2 linked regions of the Lytechinus pictus genome follow. The protein of the gene in region 2 purifies or fractionates together with the protein of the main gene of each other region. This does not show direct contact. Links are inferred from orthologs where the notes say so. Each region holds a gene or a part of one and is shown on either strand. Other genes may lie near its edges.

Evidence for each region.
Region 1: the proteins of histone-binding protein N1/N2-like (region 2) and histone acetyltransferase type B catalytic subunit-like purify together in Homo sapiens (affinity purification with mass spectrometry; 3 studies listed by BioGRID and IntAct, with this or other methods). This does not show direct contact. The link is inferred for Lytechinus pictus from reciprocal best matches to the Homo sapiens genes NASP and HAT1.

What each region holds. Positions count from the first base shown.
Region 1 is NC_087247.1:32,189,740-32,197,303, reverse strand, and holds the start of histone acetyltransferase type B catalytic subunit-like, read left to right. Parts: upstream 1-4,490; 5' UTR 4,491-4,593; coding exon 4,594-4,600; intron 4,601-6,995; coding exon 6,996-7,082; intron 7,083-7,468; coding exon 7,469-7,544; intron 7,545-7,564. UniProt on the Homo sapiens protein: Histone acetyltransferase that plays a role in different biological processes including cell cycle progression, glucose metabolism, histone production or DNA damage repair. Coordinates histone production and acetylation via H4 promoter binding.
Region 2 is NC_087255.1:22,431,252-22,438,864, forward strand, and holds the start of histone-binding protein N1/N2-like, read right to left. Parts: upstream 3,108-7,613; 5' UTR 2,295-3,107; coding exon 2,218-2,294; intron 1,795-2,217; coding exon 1,681-1,794; intron 1,004-1,680; coding exon 786-1,003; intron 1-785. UniProt on the Homo sapiens protein: Component of the histone chaperone network. Binds and stabilizes histone H3-H4 not bound to chromatin to maintain a soluble reservoir and modulate degradation by chaperone-mediated autophagy.

The sequences.
Region 1 (7,564 bases), on a different chromosome or scaffold from region 2:
CTAGATCGGATATTCTGAGTCAAAAAAGGTGGGATGGCAATCATGGTTATCGTAAAAATTAAAGAAAAAAAATATAACGAGGGATGAATGACTTAATATCTTACTCTACACCCGTGGTTCAGTCAAGTTGTCATTGTTGTCAAACCTATATTAATCAGCTGTAGAAATTGAAAGAGTAACAAGTGGAGCGCCTCTGGCAGTCTCACCTGCATCACTTGAAACTTGATTGAAAATAATTGTTATAATAACAATAATTATTTATAATCACGTATTAGATTTTATTTTTGTTAAATAATAATGCGACCAATCGCATGCGATGTTTTGAAATCGGCCGTGAATAATACGTGTGAGGAAAAAGATACTTGCCCAAAATCACCAATTTTGAGGATAACCGGAGGATGGACACGGAGTGAAATACGGGTGTAGAGTAAGATATTAAGTCATTCATATCCCTCGTTATATATTTTTTCTTTAATTCTTACGATAACCATGATTGCCATCCCAATTTATGACTCGGAATATTCGATCTAGTTCACTGTCCCGATGTTCGGGTAGGTAGAGCGTAGTGTAGCGGTACTAAGTCTAAGTACCGTATGGGCACTAGTATTCAACCCGGCATAATTCAAAGATTTTGACAAATTCCCCCAAATATTTAGAAATAGGGAATTTATCTTAATTTCATACCTTTGTTATTACAAGTGTAATCTTTTGTCGGTATTTTCTTTATCAATCTGTCGACTGTATGCGCGGAGGATCAAATTATGTGGCGATGACCTTTTGCACTGAAATGCACTAGTAATACTAGTGTAGAGTACTAGTAGTATTCAACCTAGTGATGATAGCTAATTTAAAAATGGTTTAGATTGCTAAATTAGATCTAGATTTATGTAAGTCTCTGGCTTTGATTAATTCCCTGTTTGGTCTCATCTCGATTGGTCTAGTCCATAGTCGGATGGGACAAGGGCAGATTGAAAGACAGGGCCATCTTTCATCGCTAGGTTGAAATAATACTAACTTTAGTGTCGACGGATTGAATACTACTTTACTAGTGCCAAAAACCATCGCCGTATAATTTGATCGCCTGCGCACACAGTCGACGGGTTGAAGAAAAAAATAACGGAAAAAGAATAACCAGCATTTGCTCTTGGAAATAAGACGGGTCTGAAATCAATTTCAGGTAAATTCTATATTTCTATAATATATATATTTGAGGAAACTCTCCAAACGGGTTGAATACTAGTGCCCTTACGGTATGGCAGTGAGTCCAAACTTCACGCGTGTCCATACTTCGTGGACGGTCATTATCTAAAAAACTAGCCAATATTCTTAAAATCTGACATCATCAACGTGAAAAGCGACCTAAAAATAAAATTACCCTTTGATGTAAGTTTCTTTAGGATGAGTTCAGTATTCATGAAAATATTGGCAAAAGATCGGCAAATTTGTCACTGTTAGCGCCCGTTTTGAAGAAATCAGATATTCTCAACAAGCATCACGATATCACCATTTTGCAAGCAGAAATCATCAAAAATGTGAGTTAGATGTGGTACTAACCGATTCTATAGCATTTTGCCATCAATCTGATATAAATATTTCATTTTTTGAGCTTGAGTTTTTGTTTAAATTTCCACAAAAACTTTGGTCCGCGAAGTTAGGTCACACTTTCTGAGCGGTTTTCCAGCACAGCGCGCATTCGCCGATTGGAATAGAATTTTGAGATCGCGATACCGGCGAATCCCCTTGACCTACTTTACATTTTCGTCCATGATTTTACAGTTTACGATCTTGCCGTCAATGTGGTAACTATTTCTTGAATTGGTTTTGTATAAATTATGAATATTTTGTGAACAAATTTAAGCCTGATGTCTGATGAATATTTTTGAAAAGTGCGCGAAGTTTGGACACCCCATAGGCATCATAGGATGGGGGGTCGGGAGTCCAGACAGTTTATCTTTTTGAAGCCTTCTTTTTTGTCTTTGGATTACACTATAAATATGAAATTCAATACTTGTAATCATCTTCTATTTTGTTCTTTATAATATTTCCTAACATTTTGTACTAAAAATTGATGAAACTTCGCTTGTAATTTTTTCCAAATGACTTTCTAAAAAATTGATCGTCCGGACACACAACCTGTCCGGACACACAACAACTGGGTATACTATTAGGGTGTCTGGAGAAAAAAATTATTTTTCTTATTTCAAGAAAATATCACATTTTCTTTGTGAATTTGAAGAGAAATGACCTTAAGACTGACAGAAGTGTAACATTTTTGAAAAAAATCCAATTATTGGCTGCAAAAAAGAAGAATGAAATTAGGTCAATTTTCAGCATTTCTCTGCCATAGACTGTGTAGTTAAGAAATGGACACACACAAATCCAAATTTTTAGCTTCCGAGAGCTGTTATGAATTTATTATTAATGCCAGAAACTATAGGATTTTTTATGCTCTATCAGTTGGTATGATTTTTATAAAGATTTGGAAACCAGATCACAATGAAAAATTGCGACAAAGTGAAAAAAATTGTGCAAAACAGAAATTTCATTTTCCCATAGAAAACGCATGGAGAAATGGCAATCTCAACACACACAAAAATAAGGGTTTGCAATTTATCTCTAAATCCTTATTAAACATGATCATATGGCAAGTTCCCCCAAGTCTGCGCAGTCCCCCTTGTCTGCGCACACGCGTATCTGCGCGATTCTAGTAAAAGAAGATACGCAACGAGCACGAACTCTACACATGCAATACATAGACAGTAGAGGTGCACGGCCAATATTGGAGACTGTCTCCAATGTGGGAGATTATCTCCAATATCAGAGACTTTTGTAAAGAATTTGGGTATCCAATTTCAGAGACAGTCTCCAGTTTTGGAGTCCAATTTCCTTTGTTTACATTTGCTGCAAAAGGATTAACTTGGCGGCAAATAAAAATGTGATAAGCAGATTCCTCATGAAAAATTACCCCTTTTCAACGTCTACTTTAAAAATTCACCGTCTACTTTTGTTTTGATAAGGATTTTTGTTGTCAATCACACACAAAACAAATGGGCTTCTGACCTCAGTGAGACAACATTTTGGGTGGAAAAAATCATGCTTTTGTTGGTGTTGTTTCTTTTGTCCTTTTGCAAAGCAAGTCTCCAATGTGGGAGATTGTCTCCCCTATTGGAGAGAGTCTCCCATATTGGCCGTGCGCCTCTACTGATAGACAGGTATTCATAAAAAAATCTGACTCAAAATGATGGAAAAATAATGAATTTAGGGTATTTTATGTGAAGGCCTCAAAATGCAGCCTTTCTCATCAAAATCCCAGAATCGTGTGCAAAGTGAATGAGTGCGCAGACATGGCCAGGGGAACCATTTTTTTTTTCAATCTGAAAATGACAGCCCGAGGTTTTTTTAATGAGAAATTTGGTACACTTACTAATAATAAGGAATATTATTAACCAAAAGATTTTGTGAAATAAGAAGAAATTCATGTTAAATCTTAACTCAAATTGTTAATGTTAGGTGCGCAGACTTGGGACCACCATCATATAAACTTGTCCTTACTGTCAAAAGAAGCCCCTGAATTTTCTCTTTCCATACATGCCAAACACAAGTTAATAATCAATTCAGATCACGTTTTTTTATTAGCCTGAATTTCCCCGAAAAAATGTGCCATATTTTCCCCTAAATCAGCCTGTTTTAATTATGCTGACACTTTTCAAATTTCAGTGTGGCTTCAGGAACCCTAAATTCCTAATTTAAATACCGGAAGGATTGGGGATCGGGTGTCCGGACACTTTATTATTTTATAATTATTTTTGAAGCCTTCTTTTTTGTCATTGGATTACACTACAAATAGTAAAATACGAAATCAATAGTTGTAATCATCTTCTATTTTGTTCTCTATAATATTTCCTGACATTTTGTACTAAAAATTGATAAAACTTTCCTTGTAAATTTTTCCAAATGACTTTCTAAAATTGATCGTCCGGACACACAGTGTCCGGACACACAACAACTGGGTACGGTATACTATGAATGATCAAGTGGAGTGGAGCCTGCACGAACATCGCCTGAGGTAGGGTGGACTTGACCTTTAAAAAAGGGAGCCCTGTTACAAAATCCACCATCGACACTTATAGAGAAGAAGAAGACACCCCCCCCCCCCCCCACCGTTCTCACCGTACCGCAGATCAAGCAAAGGCAAAGCAGAGTTTGGTTGACGTCGCGCCGGAGTTCTGGCTGGCACTGCTAACACTTTCTCGGTGCGTGATAGCTGACCCCGCGGTGTGCGAGAGAAGCTCTCTGGAAATTCCAAACACCGGCTAAGCAGACGTAGCATCAGAAATACAAGCCACTGTAGCAGAAAATCAAATGTGGAAGGCGCCAATAGACGCTATCATGAAAGAATGAAATATTTCATGTCACACGTCATTCGATAAATATTGTCAAGGTAAGGTTTTCAGGTATAAAATTAAATAAAAATTGAGACTGACCTGGAATAGGAGCTTGATCGCGATCGACGGTAGTCGCCGGCCGAACAAAGTACTTCCGGGTCAATGTCGTGTCGTGGATTTCGAGTTGTCTCGCGCGAAATCAAGAAAGATGGCGGGTAAGTTTTTCAGTAAACAATAAAAACCTGACAAATCATCCACTTTTTGATGTATTCAGACATGCCATAGACTAACGTATTTTCTCATGCAGACTATAAAATCTTGAAATGTTTAGTTTAAAGTCCAACGTTAAATAACATTTGTGATTTTTTGTTGTGTCAAGCTCAAGAGTCAAGACGACAAAAAAGTAAAACACTACCGAGTGCCGACTGCACAGGCACAGCTGCTCAGTGCACAGCATTGCATTGGCATTGCTACAGACTGGCACGTCCTGGCACTTGGGCTTGGGCTTGGCAGTGGCAGTGGCAGTGGCAGTGCAGTCATTATTCAGACAGTGAAAGTGACCTAAAAAAAAACTGCATGCATATATAAAACGTAACAGCTGTCATTTGCCAACGGCAAGTATATGTTTCTTGTCCTGCAGCTGCAGTTTAATTAATTAGGATATTGTCATTTATTGAGGATGAATGGGACTCTGAGGATTGCCACTCGACATGCTCAACTCAAAATTCATGCATGCCGCCGCGCATAGGAAAATCAAGCCATAGGCATAGAACTTTAACGTTGAGTTACGTTAGAAGTCATGTGCAGCACGCGCGAACCACTAGCCTAGGTCCTAGTTAGAAATCCACTTACAAACGTTCTTTTTGCGAGGTTAGCAGTATACTAATAAATAATATTAACCTCGCACTAGTGTGAGTGGAGGATGGGAGAGGGTGACAATGAAGTGAAGGCGTGATCGAGATGAATGAATGGGACGAGACCTCGTCTGATTCTTTATAGAGTGGAGGATGAATGGGAGGAGGAAGAAGTAAGTTAGGGAGAGGGTGAATAATGAGCTGGAAGGAGGCATAACTTAGGGAGAGGGTGACTTCTGAGATTGAAGGAGGAATAACTTAAGGAGAGGGTAAATGGGAGGAGGATCAAGTGGGGAGAGGATGAATGGGAGGTAGAAGGGAGACGAATGGGAGGAGGAAGAAGGGAGACAAGGAATGGGAGGAAGAAGAAGGGATAGGGTGAATGGGAGGCGAAAGGAGAGAATGAATGGGAGGAAGAGGATGAATGGGAGGAGGAAGAAGGGAGAGGATGAATGGGAGGAGGAAGAAGGGATAGGGTGAATGGGAGGCGAAGGAAGAGGATGAATGGGAGGAGGAAGAAGGGAGAAGATGAGTGGGAGGAGGAAGAAGAAGGGAGAGGATGAATTGGAGGAAGAAGGGGGGATAGAGTGAATGGGAGGCGGAACGAGTACGGAGAGGAAGGGAGAGGATGAATCGGAGGAGGAAGAAGGGAGAGGATAAATGGGAGAAGGAGGAAGAAGAAGCGAGATGAGGAAGGGGACAGAGAGTGAATGATAGAAGAAGAATGTTGACGTACAATCACCAGCATCTGGTTGTCGCGTACGTTTGGGTTTAGGGGTCAAGCGCTAAACACAGTTAATTTTGGTAGTGTGCTATTGAGACATGGGTGTTGATATCCAAACTAATCATCCTATGTCTTTGGAATGTCTGACATCCTCACCAAGAAGGTTCCATTCTGGGATGGTCTTGGGATATAGGGAGCGTTGGTTGCAGTCTTTATTTGATCTTATAACGTTGTATTTGAAAGTTCCCTTTTGTCTGGTTGGATATCTACAACTGGTTGGGTTTTGAGTTTGATGAGACATGATGAGTGGGATTGGAGCAACACTTCTTGTTTTCTCTTCTTCTTTCCCACCCTTTTAAAAATATCCAGTGAAAAGTAAATCTTACCCTTTTTTTAATGTGTTTATTTTTCACAATTCTATGGAGCGGAATTGTGTCAAGGCACTAAAGCCCCTTCCTATATCCATGTATCACAGGAATGAGCACCTGCATCCCTCCAAACATGGAGGGGGGGGGGGGTCAGTACTCTCTTAATCCCCTCCTGTTAAGCAAAAGGAGCAATATATTATCTTGTCTTCCCCTCTGACAGTAGTTTTTCATTTTGATTGCTTTTTAGTATCCATCTTCATTTTTTCTCTTCATACTTCTGCTTCATTCCCCCTCCTCCTTCTTTTATTATTTCAATTTTTCCAAAAACTCAAAAAATATTAAACTAAAATATGTTTTTAATGAAAATCTAAAGATGTCTGTCAAAATTGCCAATTTTTAACCCAATGGGACTTGATTTTGTAATCAGAACCTCAAATTTCATTTTTTCAACACTTAGGCAATACAAACAAAAGTTGGTTTAAAAAAAATGTAATTTGATGGTTCACAGGGGCCCCTATTTCTGACTAATGATGACGGCAGACTGATAGTGCTCTCTGCCCAGGAGCTCCTCTCAGGCAGAGATTTATCTGAGGCCTCCTGATTTAATTGTCCTGTAATGTATTCCATCCAAATATTAATTTAGTGGGGTTTTTTTTACTCATAGGTGCTGTAGCTAACAATATGGATAGCATGAGGAGTGCATTGGAGGAGTTTATTTGCAGAGCTAATGATGTCATAGAAATGAAATTAGGTAAGTTTAAGTACCTAAGTTATGCAATAAGGCTGCATGAAAACTGCATTTTTTTATATTCCCATACTGCCAGCTCTAATACCTTCCACCATAAATATTTGTGGAATGATATCGCCACTTTGTTTGCCTCTTTATCTTCTTCAGATAAGGCTAACGTAAAATAAAACAAGTGCAATTTATAAGAAAAAAAACATTGTAAAGGTAGGCAGTGATTTCAATCAAAGGGTAGATTTTAAAAGCAATAAATTTGATGTTGAAGTTTTTAATGCTGTTACATGAAACTCATTTCAAGTCTTTGAAGCCATACTTCAATATGTGTTTTCTACATCTATGTACAATCAAAAATACAGTTCATCATTAAGATGTTCTTTTTTAAACCCATTTAGTCCGCTCTAAGGAGGATATTGAAGATTCTTCAAGGTCATTTACTCCTACCTTCACCCATCAAATCTTTGGTGACAAGTAAGTTGTATTCATTTAGA
Region 2 (7,613 bases):
TGTACACTAGACTAGACTATCAAAATTCACAAAGATCCTTTGTAATTGTACCTTGTAACGAGGCATTTCTATGAAGCTGTTTCTATGAATGAACTATTTAGAATCCAGTTTGCATAAATTTACTAGTCACGATACTTGACAAATTCTTTGGATGTAGAGAACAATTGTCCAAGTATGCAAAAATGTTGTTAGTTTGAACCTATTGTTCAGTAGAGTATTTTCTAGTCTAAATGGAAGCAACTGATTGTTTAAATAAAGAAGCAGATGGCTCATAGTTTCAAGAAGCTTTAGCTTGAATTCACAAGTCAATGACACACCCAATAAGCGCTTTAGATTACTGTAATTTAAATTCTTTTAGATTCCTTTTAAATAGACAAAGCAAATGGCATCCTATTCAAATTGGATGATCCAAGACAGTGTAGAATTCAATCATCCCCAGTGAATGACCATTGATAAACTGACCATCTAAATACCAGGGAATGTAATCTATCACCTCCAGCTAATTCTACACTTATCCAAATCTATCTAATCTTGGGTGAATTCTACACATTGCTCTTTTCCTTTCAGTTGCATTTATCCATTACTTTATTTCAAAAGAGTGGGTTGATTTTATCTAACATTTTATCTATTTAAATTGTAAAGATTGAATTAATCGGGGCTTCTTTTAAAAATATTTTTAATGCTCCATATATGTACATGCAAGATAGCAAATGAGCTGTCCTTTATTTCCAATGAAAAATAAACTTGAGCCATCCTCTATAAAGATATACCAATAACCATTTTACCTTCTAGCTGGTCTGCACTTTCTACCCTACTTCCAGTGCAACTTTGCTTTCCTTCTCCTTCTTCGTCGGAATCTGCCGAGTCGGCTGAATCATCTGGGACCCCCTGCAGAGCGTTGCCAAGTACACCATTCTCCATGCTCGCTAGTTCAAGAAGGGAGCATCCATATTGATAGTACGCATCCCCACACTCCTCCGCAGTCTCGCCATATTTAGATGACCTGCAATTTAAATGTGCAAGATATATACACGATTGAATTAATGGATTCTGAAATCTTCATTTTCCATAGATTCGATGACGGACCACCCAGTTTCAGTACACAATGGGATATAAATGTAGTTACATTTATCTACTAAAAAGAATAACACTTTCACTCTGTAATGTTAGAATTAATGTAATCAAATTGATTTAGTATAAAATAATAAGGGTAGGTCTGCAAGAAATGGAGTAAAGACTAAAATCATTAGATTAATTGAATACTAGGATTCTATCACAGACCTCTAAAATAACACAACTCTTGAATTTCAAAGGAATATTTTCCTTCATATTTTGATTTGTGTGCATTCTGCAACCTTTGAATTCAGTAATCAAAGTATTTTCTCAATCCAAGGGAATTGTTCTTTTTAAGTAGACCAGCTATAAGGCTTGGAATAATGTACATGACCAATCAATAAAAATTACTTGTTTCCTAAAAAAAAATCATTAAATGTAGATCTATAGATGTAAAACTGAAAGAAGGTGACAATTTTGGACAGACAAAAAAGGTCAGTTTGTCTCATGTTAATATGCTTAATAGATAATGATGATCTTTCAGATAAAATAAGAAATAAACCATGTTTTTTTAATTGATTTTTTTTTTTTGGGGGGGGGGATCTACTGAAATAAGATAAATCGTACAGCAGTTCACAAGCTTCTTGGAAACACTGGACAGCAGCTGGAGGGTCACCAACCACAAGATTCCTCTTCCCCTGGCCCATCAATTCTAAGGCTTCAGCATCAACGTCTTCAGGGCTGAAATGAGAAAAATAATGTAATAGGTCACTCATCATACAGAATTCAATTGACAAATGAAATCTGAATATCAAATATCACTCCAAGCATCAATCCAAACAAACGACAAGAAACCAAAGTCCAATTTGGCTACTTCATCATTTTGTCACTCACATGTATTGCGAGGTTAGTATATGTTCAATAATTTATTAGACCCTACTGATTTGTCATAATTAGTCATTCTATTTGACCTTTAGAATTTAATTTTTAAATAAAATTATAGACATGATAAAAGTTTCTTGACTACGAGGCCAAACTTGACCTGTTGATGATTTATAAATGCAAGAGACAGCTAAAAATCTTTAAGTCATCTTTAATAAAATTACTCCAACTTTTAAGCATGCCATTGCCAATTTTGAAAAGTAAAAATGCTGCTCAGCTCACCCGGCATCTTCTTGTTCCACCTCTTCGATTTCAGCAGCAGAACTTGATCCAGGTTTGTCTTCTTCCGTCCCAAGCATTTTTGTGTAGTCTAGACTTTGTGTGTGACTGCTCAAGAAAAAATGTTCCCCACTGAACCGTCTTTAACCAGGCTTAGCGTTTCCTAATTGGGATAGAGTGATCTGGTGATTTGAACAAGTTTTCTCAGTTGACTCGACTCTGAACTTTAATTGAAGACTCGAGTTGGAGTTTGTCAAGATGACCACCTGCCGACGATACTGTCATACATTCGAAGAAGCAGAAAGATGTCCCCAGCTTACAGTTACCCCTTCTGTTTTCTTCAGAATCAGGCTTTGACTTTGTCTTTGACAATGACAGGTCTAACTTTACTCTTACTAGCTCACTCACTGTCCAAAGCAAAAGGCTAATTACATGAATTAATAAGCATAAGCTGCATGCAGCTCTCTCTGATACTGAGCGAGTGTATGTGAGTCAGTGACAGAGGCCTAGAAGTGTGTATATGTTTGACTGTCACTACACTGCCAAACTCCTGCCGTGCCTGAGAAAGGATCCGTGAACAGTTAAGTTAGGAGTCGGGCGCTCGAGCCTAGCCTCCGCCTACGCCACGGCGTAGTTTCTTGCCGACAAAACGTCACAAAGACCAAGTCAACAACAAAATTAAACGTTAATATTTCGACTTCAATGCAATGAAGTCAAAATAATATTCCCTCCCAGTCGCAAGACCAAGATATCACACATGTGAATATCAGATTCAGGAGGGAGTCTGTCCTGGATCTACAATGAATGACGAATTGTCTTCGATAGAACAAACTCGATCTCCTGAAAATTTCAATGAATGTTTTGCACGTTTTATGTACGGGCTCGAATCGTCTACAGGAATAACAAAGGAGTCGCCCCCAGATAACTCTGTTGAACGAAATTCGTACCTACCGGTACGTGTAAGTAAGATTTTGCTTGTGATCAAAATAATCGCAGGATCGGGACGTTTACGCCCCTTTACGCCCATATACCCTTTAAGTTAGTGGGGAGATCGATGCCCGGACGCGACGATACGTAGATTTGAATGAAAAGCAGAAAAGAAGAAGGGAAAAAATGGGTGAAAGACTTTCACAGAAGATTCGATGAAAATCCGTCGAAGAATGAGACTCCAGTGGCCCGAAATCTATATAGCATGTCATGTATAAATTCCATTAAAAAAAATTTGAATAAAAAAGATAATCAAGTTGGATGATTCATTAGTGGCCTAGCTTTCGTTTTAACATCATGTAAATAATGTTATTGGAAGACCCAGATGAAACTATACCACGGATTGACCTAAGCATAATGAACTCAAAACAATTAACCTTATAAAGGAAATGTGATGGCTTTGGCATCGGACAGCAGATGTACTCCCAGTAAAAAAAAAGTTAAATTAAACATTGTATGCCTATATTATTCATGACTGAGCATCTATTTTACCTGTAGGCCTACTTGTCAGTATATACTCAAGTACTTTCCTGTGTTCAATGATGATATATACAAATAGGCCTATAGGATAGCCCTACGACGCCTTTAGGGCCAACATACCTATACATAAAAAAAAATAATGAATTAAAAGGGGGGCAGTGGCGGACCGTGACCCGGAGGAGACAAAGCATTGGAGGGGCACAGCATTGTTCACAAACAAGTGCCCCTCCAATCATTGTCTCCTCCGCGGGTCACGGTCCGCCACTTGGTAGGCCTATGGGCCGCGATCCTTCGGTATCCCTTTCAAATATCATGAGGAAATTCAGTGTAGTTGGGGCCTTATTTAAATGGTTTCTCGTCTGTGACACCACAAATTAAAATAATTCTTTATGGATTTTCACCACTCTTCTTTTCTCTCTCTTTCTTTACTTTGACTTTTATTTAAACTATTCCGGGAATCTATTCAGAACTATACAGAATCAGAGATTTTAAATCTTGGCCTTTTGAAACTTGCTCAAAGTCTATAGATTTGAGGGGCCGCACGTTAGCCTCATGATCTTTATATAGACCTTTTTTATTCTAAGCCGTCTGTTTGACCTTCGAACCAACTATTTGACATGCATTGCCTGGCCCAGGCTATATGCCCGGGGGGGCCACTTCCATTGACAAGTGGATACCATGCGCGACCACGGGGTCTCGAAAAGCACCCTAAACACGTATTTTCCATGTTCTGAAAATGCACCCCTTAACAAGTATATTGGCGTCTGAAACCCTACCCTTAACAAGCATTGGAAACAAAACTATACTCTTGGCAAGTATTCCCTGAAATGAACCCCTAAACAAGTATACAGCGATATTTTATTGTTGTGTCACGGGTCCGGCGGTCGTCGGTTTTATCTAATTTACACACCATTTGGTTTAGTATGGCCCCACCTTCCTCACCTCGCGCAAATCGGGACTCTAAACACGTAGTGTTGGGGCAAAAAGGACATCCTTTATACAACATTTTAATTTTGTTTGATCATCCCCGCAAATGTGACCCTAAACACGATAGCTTTCCTAGCGAAATAGATACCCTTTTTTCATTATTTTTGTGTTTTTGACACCCTAATCACGTTACGTACGTAACGTGCCCTATCTTGAAAAAGACATCCTTTTTACGTGTTTTCTTGGTCGCGCATGGTATCCACTCGTCAATGTAAGTGGCCCCCCCCGGGCTATATGGGAAGTAAATATCTTCTGAAGGGGATTTGTCCGGGGGATTGGTTTTATTATAAAATCAGAAAAATATTGGTGAAGGGGATGAAGGGTGAACATTATCAAAGAATACGCGGACGGAGTTGTGATTTTTGAATTTTTTTATCTTTGATACATACTTTAAATTCGCCCACTTAAAAGTCATTTAAAAAAGAAGGGATTTTATTCATAGTGGTAAATGTATCATCACAACATTTTTTCCTTTCTATGAGAAAAATATTTGTATTCATCTCAAGTTCCATTGAAACTTGATGCTCGCACATTATGACGTCACACATTAAAGTTCGAAGTACACCCTGAAGAAACTAGCTATATAGGTTGTTGTAAAATAGCCGGCAGAACAAACAATAAAAAATATTGGTGAAGGTTCCAGGAAACTAATTCATTTATTATTCAGTTATATAGTTTTGGATTTGTCGAGCAGATGCCCCGTATATAAAATGAATAGATTTCAATTTTTTGATGGTTCGTGCATTTTTTAGGAACGGATGTGAAATGATTTGTCTATTGATATACCAAGCCGTAGAAAACCGTGTTTTTTTTTATTTTCGATTTTCTGAGACAATGACATTTCATTGATATGCTTTCACCCAATATGAAATCTGCTCGCAAGCCTCGCATTATTGCGTCACAAGAAATCAAATCTAAAATTCCAATAACCTTTTTTATTCTTTGATATTTTTCTCAAACCTTCGGCAATATTTATTTATTGTTTTTCTGCTATTTGTAGAATATAAAATTTTTGTCAAAGTGAACTTCCCCTCAAATATAGCCCGTCACTCTAACAAGACTCTATTCTCAGGTGCTGCCTCAGGTCTTTGCCGAACTTACATGGGGACATTTTCAGTATTACTTTTTTTTTAAAGAAGAAATGCCAAATAAACTGTAGAAGAACAGAAAATTCGAAGAAAGCTTTCATATCTGGAACAAACGGTTTTTTTAAAGCGTTTTAAGGCTCGATTCTGCAATTACCGATCGGGCGAATCACGTAATAGGCGATTTTTTTTTTACGATAAGGATCTTTGAATCAGCTGCAGGAAAGATTTCGCGCGTTACTTTGTATTGGTGGCGCGCCAGCTGTTCCATTGATTGTACTTACAGTTTTAAGGTCACAGATGAATACCATATTTTTCGAAAAGCAGCTGGACTGCTATATGCTACATACTATCTAAGTAATTTCAATAATAATCATATCGCAAAGCAATATATTTTTAAAGAAAATAGATTTTGAATTGGCTTTATATTTCGTATATATATCATCTTCTACAAGATCTACTTCCGGGATGGAATATCTCAGATTCTGATTACAACATGAATATTCATTGCATTAATATTCATGTAGGCTTTTTCAAAAAGTTTATTTGTATGAACAATTTTTATTACATTTGCAATTAAAAATACAAAAATATTGTTTGATATATTAATTAAAATTGTAAATAATTTTTTAATGATTTAAAACCCTTTGCCATAAATAATAATGAATGATTGACGAAACTGTAAAACTCAATTGAAGAAATAGTTAAAGTCTGATGACGTCACATTCTTCCATTTTATATTGGTGTATGCAGCCTCGTGGTCTATATACCGGTGAGTTATAATCTTATTTGAATGACTTATTATCAATATTTGTAGGTACTTTTATGATGAAATTTAAACTTATTCTGTATATGCTTTTAAAGCTCAATCTATACCCTGCCAAGATTTTAATTTGTCATTTGTAGAAAGTAGAAACTTTTCGGTTTGTAATTGTAATATGCCAATGCAATGTGACTTGGGCGAGTTTGCATTTATGATCTTGAAGTTTTACAGAACAGCGCAGTTGCAGGGCTTGTGAGCGCATCGTCGCATAATGACCCTGCCGATCACCCCGGCCCAGAGCAGGCAGTGTTTGATGTATGCACGTCATGTAGTGCACAGGTATGCAGCGCATATCGCCATGGAATGGCATGACTCGGGAGCGTGGGCCCACTCTAGACAGTCATGTAGATCTATCTCGTACTAAGAAAGGGAAAAAAAAAATTTTTGAGGGCTCCATTTTAAATTTTTTGTCAAATTTCGGGGGCTCTTATTTAAATTGAATGCTACTTTCTTGTTTTCTATTGTTCTTCGCCAACGTTACCCGACGCACGCGTCTGGGATAAAACTTCATTTCCGACATTTCTACGACTACGCTCTCGTTATTTTTAAACCAGAATTCATCAAAAAAGTGAAAAAATATTGTGAAAAGATGGAAGAGACTTGCCCGATGTTTACGCCGCCATCTTGTTTCTTATTGTACTTCCCCAACGTTACGCGACGCTCGCGTCCGTTTCAGGTTTTCAGTAGAGTCGCACGGCCAATATGGGAGACGATCTCCCACATTGGACTTGGAGACTTGCTTTGCAAAAGGACAAAAGAAACAACACCAACAAAAGCATGATTTTTTCTACCCAAAATTTTGTCTCACTGAGGTCAGAAGCCCATTTGTTTTGTGTGTGATTGACAACAAAAATCCTTATCAAAAACAAAAGTAGACAGTGAAAAGGGGTAATTTTTCATGAGGAATCTGCTTACCACATTTTTATTTGCCGCCAAGGTAATCCTTTTGCAGCAAATGTAAACAAAGGAAATTGGACTCTAAAACTGGAGACTGTCTCTAAATTGGATACCAAAATTCTTTACAAAAGTCTCTGATA